2 linked regions of the Canis lupus familiaris genome follow. The protein of the gene in region 1 binds, or shares a complex with, the protein of each later gene. Links are inferred from orthologs where the notes say so. Each region holds a gene or a part of one and is shown in the gene's direction. Other genes may lie near its edges.

What was found. The genes of interacting proteins can lie anywhere in the genome.
Region 2: the proteins of ARMC8 (region 1) and RANBP9 are in contact, whole or in part, in a cryo-EM structure (PDB 7NSC), measured with the Homo sapiens proteins. The link is inferred for Canis lupus familiaris from reciprocal best matches to the Homo sapiens genes ARMC8 and RANBP9. Residues at the interface, in NP_001350870.1 of Homo sapiens: Gln245, Arg246, Asp247, Val277, Leu278, Lys279, Ile317, Ile320, Thr321, Asp322, His323; in NP_005484.2 of Homo sapiens: Tyr271, Gly298, His299, Ser300, Leu301, Gly302, Ile303, Asp337, Asp340, Tyr341, Arg343, Glu344, Thr347.

The regions. Positions count from the first base shown.
Region 1 is NC_049244.1:34,937,623-34,943,104, forward strand, and holds the start of ARMC8 (armadillo repeat-containing protein 8), read left to right. Parts: upstream 1-2,293; 5' UTR 2,294-2,542; coding exon 2,543-2,587; intron 2,588-5,482. UniProt on the Homo sapiens protein: Component of the CTLH E3 ubiquitin-protein ligase complex that selectively accepts ubiquitin from UBE2H and mediates ubiquitination and subsequent proteasomal degradation of the transcription factor HBP1.
Region 2 is NC_049256.1:14,383,445-14,388,271, reverse strand, and holds part of RANBP9 (ran-binding protein 9), read left to right. Parts: intron 1-2,081; coding exon 2,082-2,194; intron 2,195-3,532; coding exon 3,533-3,641; intron 3,642-4,827. UniProt on the Homo sapiens protein: May act as scaffolding protein, and as adapter protein to couple membrane receptors to intracellular signaling pathways. Acts as a mediator of cell spreading and actin cytoskeleton rearrangement.

The DNA.
Region 1 (5,482 bases):
AGTGGCAAGAACATGATGCAGGGATGCCTGGGTGGCTCAGCAGTTGAGCGTCTGTCTGCCTTGGACTCAAGGCGTGATCCTGGAGTTCCAGGATTGAACCCCACATAGGGCTCCCTGCAAGGAGCCTGCTCCTCTGCCTATGTCTCTGCCTCTCTCTGTGTCTCTCATGACTAAATAAATAAAATCTTAAAAAAAAAGAACATGATGTATAAAAACATGGGGAAGGGGTCACCTAACTTATACTTGGGAAAAGGGCTTCCTGGAGGATGTATTGCTTGAGGTAATGGGTGAACATGGATAAATACAGCTATCACAACTCTATAAATATAAATGTCATATAAATGTCAGCTGAAATTTCATTCGATACTTTTATATCCTCTGTTCAAGGGTTATGCTCTGCTATGTTATAGTATGCAGAATATGACATGATTTTAGGTGATAGGTGGACATGTAAACTTTTTTGTAGTTATCATGTTAATATGTAATAGAATAAAAATAAGCACAAAAACTTGATTTTACAGACTCTTATGGTTTAGGATGAAGCTAAACTATTTAATGAATTGAAATTGACTTTAAAGAAAAATACTGAGTGAATAACAACACCCAGGTTCAGATGACAAAGTTTGCATGGGTGGTATGCAGATTACTGAAGTTTGGAGAATACTGCAGAAGGAAAAATCTGAAGTGAAATTCCTGCTTTCTAGAAACTCAACAGTTTGGGAAGACAGAGCCATGAGGAAGGATGATTAGGGCTACAATAAATTTGAAAACCAAGTACAGGTTTCCCCCACAAAGCAAAATTAGAGTGTTCTTTTTTTTTAACATCTAAGAATTTATTTAAAGACACAAAACAGCTATATTAACAGATACATATACATTTGTTTTTTCTTTATGCTGTTTAATGCTAGGGTGTTCTTATTAAAACTTTCTAAACTAAAATGGCATAAAGTGAAGAAGGAATACCATAACTTTATATGGAAACATTTTTGAGCCTTCCCAGAGCTGAAAAATAACCTCTTTTAGGCATTTCTGATACCTTAGGCCATATCTTACTAACAGATGTACAAAATAAATGGAGATAAAGCACAGATGCTCACAGATACAGTTCAAAGCTATGGGTGGCTTGATGCTGAGATGCTGAATGTAGTTCCCAGAGGAAGAGCTTGGGGATGCCACTCTCCCCTGCTGCCTGTGGTTGACAGGTGCCTTATAAAGGCTCACTGCAAAACACACACTGCTATTTTCATTCACTACCTTTTTTTCATAAAAGCAAAAATTCTCTTTGGGTTTCTTTGGTTAGCAAAAACAGATTCTAACGTAGGGCTTTGCTAAAAGCAAAGTGGCTTAAGGGGAACTTTCTAGAATAGAAAGCAGTGAGGAGCAAAGTGAAAAGGTTAGAGGCTACAAGATCAGTTGGAAGGCTATTGCTCTAGGGCAGGGGAGAGGTAGTAACAGCCTGATTAAGGAGTGGCCATAAAAATAGAAAAAAACAAGTAATGAAACAGGCTTATTGCAACCACTCTATGAAAACTGACTGGTTATAGACAGCAGGAAGGTGAAACCTGTCCAGCCAAGTCCAGGGCTGTTTTATACACACACATACACACCACACCCATAGACACACACATGGAGTGGGAAAGCTGAATTAATGAGAAAATATCATTAGAAGCATGTTTTTATTTGGCTTCAGTTATCAGAGTGCTTTAGTGTTAATTCTCAGATATTTGTCCCCCTTTTTTTCTATTTGACTCAGAGACTGAGGAAATAGTAACATATATATAACGCTTTCTACATTCCAGTCATGTTCTAAAGACCTTTAGTTTCCCGTTCTCATAACCCCTATTTTATAGAAGAGAAAGCTGAAGCATAGGGAGGTTAAGTAACTTGGCTGGACGTAATGCAACTGATAAGTGAAGTAGCAAAGACTAACCCAGGCGTTCTGGCTCCAGAGTATCTATTCTTAACACTACACCAGAATTAATGGGTCGAGCAGATTACGCCGAAGACCTGGTTCGGAGACCACAGTCCCTTCATCTGTAAAATGGCGATAACCACGCTAGGAACCTGCTGCAAAGGAGCGAGATAATGTATAGGAACGTGAACTTCAAATTACATATGTGACTCCACACACTAGTCTCTATCATGTGAATAGGTGAGCTGCATTGTAACGACTCAGCCCGTCAAGTTTGCAGCTCCAAGAGCGAGACCCCGCCCCTGTGGCTCCGCCCACCGCGAGCGGCAGGTGGGGCCGGCAGATCTTCTTTGCGCATGCGGAAACTGCTGCCCGCTCCCACCTCTAACCCAGGCTGAGAGTAGCTGCCGTTTCTGAGAAGACGATTCGTCAGGAGACGCTTGGCGCGGTTTTCCTTTTCTCTCCCCTCTGCGGGCCCTGGTCGTACTTCAGCTGTGCCTAGAGTGTGGTGTGTTCTCGTCTGTCTGCCTGTCTCTCCGCAGAAGGTGCCTGTCGTTGGCCCAGTAGTTCCCTGTCGAAAGTGCCGGCCCCCGCGCCGGCACCGGCCGTAGCCGGGTGGGAAGGCTCAAGATGGCGTGCCTGTTGGAGACCCCAATCCGCATGAGCGTCCTCTCGGTGAGTGACCGCCGCAGCCGCAGCCGCCCGCCAGCTCGAGAGCTCGGGCCGGCCCGCAACACTCACCCCAAACATGGAGTGCCTCCTGGAACACCACCCCTTGGGGTGGCTTCCGGCTCAGCTGTGGGCCGTGGGGAGAGAGAGGGTGGGCGGGAGGAATAGACCGGGACCCCGACCGAGCCAGAAACGTCCAACTCCGGGAGCGCCCACCGGTGCCGTTGCTCAGGTGGCCTCTGGCGGACGGGGTGGTTGGGCATACGGGCGGCTGGTCCGGCGGCTCGGCTTGGGTCTTGCCAGGTGCTTCGCTGAACCTTCCTGTTAGCGTTGCCGCTTCTCCGGGCCGAGCGCGGTACCCTGTGGGGCGCGGGGCTTGCTCCTGGCCTGGGAGGGAGCGCCCGTCCAGCCCCCCCGCGGCGTTGGCAACGAGGGTGCAGGCACTTCGGCCCCCACAGCCTGCGAGCGGCCAGGCTCGGGCTAGAACCGCTTGCTTCTTGGCAACGGGGATTTCACGTCAGCTGCAGCGTGTGTAGTTATTTGAGCCCCTCTGCTCTGGAGGTCGCAGCTCCGAGTCTAAAGGAACCCGTGCCTGGCATTACTTTTTTTTTTTTTTCTTTTTCTTTTAAGGGGAGTCAAACGCTGAGAAAAAGAAAAAATTAAAATTTTCCTACTACTATTGAAAGAAGGGAATGTATTGACTCGCCAGGAAGTAATACCTAGTTGTTTGTTCTGTTTTGTTTTTTTCTTCAAATTAAATCCGAAATACAACTTTCACTTTTCACTCTATGGCTCTTGAGAACCAGGACCCGGAGTGAAAGTTACTGAGGAATAACTCCAGAGGATTTTTACTACGATTTAGAGCTGTCCAGCTCAGACAAGAGTCACTTTACCTACCAATGGTCCATCTGCTGTTGTTGTAAATAGGCAAAGACTGGTTGGCCATCTTTTAGACTTGGGGAAAGCTGTCTGATTCTGAGAGGGTGGTTGGATTACAGATGCTTCGATTTGTCAGGTTCCTAGAATCTGTGACTCCAGCGCATTTCTTTTCTCTCCCCTGACTTCCCCCATTGATTCACCTATCTGGAAGCCCTTAGGGCATTAGCTGTGATTCAGGGTTAGAACGCTGTGGCATACCAGAACCTAGATCATTTAATTTGGGGGGATGGGGGCTGTCAGCAGATTTGCCTCCTGATGGGTTTTAGCAGTCCTTTTCCTTATTTTATACAGCAATGGGGGAAACACTGTTCATCTAGGTATTGAATCAGGTTCGCCTTTTTTTTTTTTTTTAAGGTTTGTCTTTTATTCTACCTCTGTAATATTTTGTGGGAGAGCAGGTGAATGACTTTTCCCTCATGTTTCTTTTTTTTTTTTTAAAGTATGCCTCTCAACTGTCCTCAATTCCCTTTAATTATCTTGTTTATCCTTTTTTTTTTTTTTTAACGTTTTATTTATTTATTCATGAGAGACAGAGAGAGAGGTAGAGACACAGGCAGAGGGAGAAGCGGCTCCACGCAGGGAGCCCGATGTGGGACTCGATCCTAGGTCCCCAGGATCACGCCCTGGGCTGAAGGTGGCACTAAACCGCTGAGCCACCCGGGCTGCCCATGTATATCCTTTATTTCACCTGAAGCTTTACTTTTTGTACACTGTTAACTTGTGTCGTGTCTACAGTTGAAAATTTTCATTTGTTTCACTCCCTGAGTAAAAACATTTCCTGTTTAATTCTTTTTTTTTTTTTTTTTTTTATGATAGTCACACAGAGAGAGAGAGGCAGAGACACAGGCAGAGGGAGAAGCAGGCTCCATGCACCGGGCGCCCGATGTGGGACTCGATCCCGGGTCTCCAGGATCGCGCCCCGGGCCAAAGGCAGGCGCTAAACCGCTGCACCACCCAGGGATCCCTCCTGTTTAATTCTATGCAGAAACTTCTTGAAGAGTATTCCCTACTTCTTCTGGGGATTTGCTTTAGTTCTAATGTCACCGAAGGCTAATTTATTTTCACAGTCCCAATGCCTTGTTTGTCAGTTCACCAGTTACAGAGCCTTGGAAAATCAGACACCACTGTGGCACAACCTTTTGAAATACAGAGTGCAGGTGGAACAGGAAATATTAATCAGAAATTACCTTGAAATAATTGATTCCTTTAATATAGGCTGCTTACTGTGCACCAGTTATGTACAAAACTGTAATGGATACTTTTAGGGAATGCAAGGATGAGATCAGATATGCCCTCAGGGATCGTACAGTCTGAAGGAGCCCACAGTCCAATAAACATAGTTCAAGCAAGGGGCAAATCAAATGCCTTTAAAGGTTTCATTCAAGGCCCTTTGTACCTTCTCCCCATGAGAGATCTCTTCACTCTTACAACCTTAACTGTGATCAACTCATAGATTACCTTGCCAACCTTGACTTTTTCCCACCTAGTCTCACATCTTCAATTGCGTGGATGTTACCTAAGACTTTTTTTCCCTCTAGTATCTATTTTTTTCCCATTAGTATCTATATTATCATTCAATGAATTATCATTGAATTTAAATAAATTATTGAATTGTATTATTGGTTTCAGAGGTAGCGGTTAGAGATTCATCAGTCTTATATAATACCCAGCGCTCATTACATGCCCTCATTAATATTCATCTCCCAGTTACCCCATCACCCTGTCCCTCTCCCCTCCAGCAACTCACAGTTCGTTTCTTATTAAGAATCTCTTTATGGTTTGTCTGTCTCTCTGATTTCATCTTGTTTTATTTTTTCCTCTTTCCTCCTTATGATCCTGTTTTGTTTCTTAAATTCTAGGTATGAGTGAGATCATATAATTGTCTTTCTCTGATTGACTTACTGCACTTAGCTTAATATCCTTTAGTTCCACCCACATCGTTGAAAATGGCCAGGCTTTTTT
Region 2 (4,827 bases), on another chromosome or scaffold:
TTTCCAGTGAATTGGGTCACTCTAAGAATAATTTCAGCTACTATTGGTTATTAGGATCCCTTTTTTGTGAAATCTATTTATTTTTCATGTAGATTCCATTAGATTATAGTTGTCTTCATTCTATATAGGGAAATCTGACCACAAGCCTCCAGTTGAAGGAGTTTTTAAATCTTACTAATTATTTTAATATATTATTATTAGACATTTAAGAGACAGCAAAAGGAGTAAAAGACCAAATAGGAACATGGAGTGAGGATTCCTAAAAGCAGGATAAATACTTAGGATTTCATGATAACGATGGTACAGAATGGGTAGGTGATACCAGAGCAAACAGTGGGTATCAATAAAAGTATATTGTAAAATGAACAACCTTTATTTCAACTTGTTCTTTATGGAAAAGTAGAATTTCATTGGAATGGAAGTCAGCAGGAAAACGTAAGTCCTATGATAGTCAACTCTTTAGATTATACCTTTGCTAAAAGGCTGGAGATGATGCCTGGGTGTCAGTAGTACTCAGTGGTAGCTCTTAAAGCTTGAAATAGTGCAGACCTAAAAATCAAATAAGTACAAGTAAATTTAAATAGTCATTTTCCCTGCTGTCATCTCATCAAAGAAAATAGCAGAGACTTTCAGATACCATGAATCTAACAATTTGTCCTAAATGTCTGTGTAATTGCTTTGAACAGTTGTACATTTAAAGATATAATAAATCTTTGTGTGTGTTTTTTGGAGGAGATAATGATTGGAAGACATGATGGTGATTCTGAAAACATGCTTCTTCCCTGGAGCTATTATCATCTGGTATCACAGAGCCTCTGCACTGGTACTTTTTGCCAGCACAGCTGACAGAACAGCAAAGCCTGGCTGAAAACCTCATAGTTCCATGAGTTAGAGTGACGATAAGTTGCTCTCCTGGGGTCACCTCCCCTTCGCACTTTAAAAATGGTTGCCACTGAGGATCATAGCAGGATCGTAGTAGAGGAAGCCTCATTTAACTTAATTCTGTAACCAGAGTCCAGTGAGGGCCACCACCCCATTCTTTCTAAAACTGACACTCACCGTGACCTCCTAGGAAGTCCATTTTAAAAAGTTCTTTCCTACTTTTGTAAATCATTTTGACCAATTAGATGAAGTAAAATGCAAAATCTGTTTCTTGGAGATTTTCCCTGCTGCCCCCTCCATCCCTCTTCACTGCTTCCTACCATTTTCTGATAGGGTGTTAGTAGTGCCAGATGGCGGCAGGTTTAGGAGTTGAATATTTGGATATATTGGATATTTGGGTTAATATTGTTGAGTCAGTAGTTTTCTTTAACCTTTTTTTTTTTTTTTAAGTTTTCTTTAACCTTTTGCAGTTAGATGTAAATGTGTTTTGACCACTTGATGACTTTGAAAAACAACAAACTTGTTCTTTGAAAGCATGGCACTTCCATGTAAATCACGTTTGAGTAACTAATCTTTCATGTACAGTAATACTGATTTGGATCAGAAGGGCTGTTTTTCGTGAGTTAGTATTATCACCCTCATAGACTTTGTTCTGAAAAAGCCTCTCTCCCGTTCACCTGTGTTCACCTCTTGGAGATCCTATCCCATGCAACTGATGAGAAAAGAAAGGAATTGAACTCCATAACACCAAAGAGTTATTAATCTGTTATTTAAAAAGTGTTGTGTTTTAGAAAATGCCAGCACTTCACTAGGATAAGTTGTATAATTAAAGGTGAAACAGAAATTATGGTTAGGAGGATTGAATATTGAATATAAGGATGGGAAGTGACAGGAAAGGACCCTGGGGATAATGGGGAACCAAGAATCAAGAGTCTGTCAGGGATTCTTCTCTTGTGACAGTTATTCTTAGGGAGAGTACTCTTAACATGGCATTTGCGGTTCTCTTTTTGGAAATACTACATGACTAGAACAAAATGATTCTTTTTTTAACTGATTTTAAAGTTGAGGTCCTTAAAGCCTTATTTTAAGGGAATAGGTTGGTTTTGTAACAACAGAGTAGATCTTGTTTTATGTAAGTTGTAGTATGAAGCCTGTATTCTCTTGACTAAAAGATGTGTGTTTCTTCTTTTTATTTTAAGAATGGTTTCATCTTATTTAGTCCACCATGGGTACTGTGCCACAGCAGAGGCCTTTGCCAGATCTACAGACCAGACCGTTCTAGAAGAATTAGCTTCCATTAAGAATAGACAAAGTAAGGACCCTGTGGTGCATGGATAACACTTGTTTTCAGATTATAGGTTTGATTTTGTTGATTTTTAGAAATTATATTTTTTAATTTAAAAAATTTTCAAATATATTAACTTAAAATTGATGCCTCTGAAATTAATCTTCATTGACATTTTTGAAGACCAATTTAAAAAACACTCACATTAAGACTGTGTTAGCATTCTGGATATAGAAAGATATTTTGGAGATAGTTTTATAAGAAATGTTTACCTTTTTTTTTTTTCCCCTTAAATGTTTGCTTTAGATTTTGGGAAGTAAACATTTAACAAAAAATTTTTTAGTAGGTAATGTGGTCCCATGATTAGATACTGGTGAAGATAATATGTAAAAGAAATATTAATCTTTGCATTTGAATTGCTATCTAAACTTAAGATAGTATTGATCTTAAATTTTAATTCTTGGGTCCCAGTACTCTGGCCAGAGCTGTCGGGCCTGTTCTACCAAGGGCAAGTCAGCATGTCACTCCTCCACAGTTAGCCTTCCTAAATGCGGTGCAGTTAGTCCATTAGGGAGGGGATGACTTGGTGAGAGGATAGGCATCAAAATACAGGTGATGGGTGAAATCATGATGCTTGGAAACAATTTTTTTTATAGGTCAAATTTGCTATAATAACACTAATTACATTGTGTTGTTAACTAATCATAGGCTTGTCTGTCTTTCTTACTATGCTCTGAGCTCTGGCAAACAGGAGACAATCACTTACTCTGTGCATCCTCGTCATCTAATTTAACAAATATCCAACACACAGGGAACACTCAGTCTATATCTGGGGAATTCAGGTCTTACTCAAAAGCCAGTGTTCTCTTAGTACTGGGAGCTAAAGGTTATTGTATTTGATAAGACATTCTGAATATTATCTCTAATGTTTGCTATGATCTTTAAAAAATACACTTCACTGAAGTATAATTGACATATTAATAGCTGTACCTGTTTAGTGTGTGTGACTTGATGAGATTGGGAAAAGTATTCTTGAACCCAGCACCACATTCTAGGCATTTATAGAAACACATCCATCTTTTTAATCTTAGAGGTTAATATTTCAGTATTGCTTAACAGGTGTTTTTCCTGTATTACCTGTATATTTGTGATTTTTAAAAATAGTTTTATGAAGTACTTATTTTTCTAATTTTTAGTATGTATGAAATTTCTTCTTGATTGCCTAATAGGAACTAGATTTTAGAAAAATGAAAGTTAATTGCAATAATTTATTTAAAGTTGTTTTTTTTACTAACTTTTTTTTGAGGACCCACTATTTTGTTTCTACTCAAAAAAATCAATCTCTTGTTTTCTTTTTCTAAATAGGAATTCAGAAATTGGTGTTAGCAGGGAGAATGGGAGAAGCCATTGAAACAACACAACAGTTATACCCAAGTTTACTTGAAAGAAATCCTAATCTTCTTTTCACATTAAAGTAAGTTTAATAAAATGTTACTGTATTATGTGTGTGTTACATATAATCAGAATTATTGTCATGCTTTAATAGTTTTAATTTTTGTTTCACCTTTTTTCAGATATTTACATACAATTTTGTAATATAGCACATTCAAGTAACAGATTATATATATAAAAAAAAACCACTTGTGTTGATTATAAGCAGATAGGATCTTTTCCTGTGTGTTTGCTCTTCTATTATGCTAGCTGTTATGTTCAGAAATGTTAAAATCTTAATTATGAGATGGATATCCATTTTTCTTCCTGGAAAGTACCTTATTGTAAGTCTGTGTGATTTTGAAAATTGGTAAAATGTACATAACATAAAATTTGTCATTTTTACATGCACAGTTCTATGGTATTAAGTATAGTCACACTGTTCTGCATTTGTCAGCAACCAGCCATCTCCAGAACTTTTTTTCGTTATCCCCAGAGAAACGAACTCCCCATTTCTCCCTATACCCAGCTCCTAGCAACCACCATTTTACTTTTCTGTCTCTGTGAAATTGAATTTGACTACCCTGGGTACCTCATCTAAGTGGAGTCATAACATATTTGTTCTTTGTTACTAGCTTATTCCTAATAGCAACATGTCCTCAAAATTCATTCATGTTACAGCATATGTCAGAATTTCTTTCATTTCAAAGGCTGAATAACTGATAGACATTTGGGTTGCTTCCACTTTGGTTATTGTGAATAATGCTGCCATGAACAGGAGTGTACAAATATCCACTGGAGTCCCTGTTTCCAGTTCTTTAGGGTATATACCCAGAAATAGAATTGTTGGGTGTATATATATATTTCATATATATACACACACACACACACACAATATATATATACACACACACCCACACACACACTGTGTATATACTTACATATACCTTGTGTGTGTGTGTGTGTATATATATATATATATAATCTGTTTAATCTTTTGACAAATTTGATCCTCAGAATGCTATAGCTCTGTGCCATTTTAGTCTCACCATGTACAAGGATTCTAGTTTTTCCACATCCTTGCCAATACTTTTCTACATCTTTTTTTTTAAGTCTACATCTTTTTTTAATAATAGCCATCATAATTTGACTTTTTTTTATTGGCCTTCTGAATCTTTGTTATTTTAAAATTCACGTGTTATTAAGCTTAATATTTCACCTCTCTGATG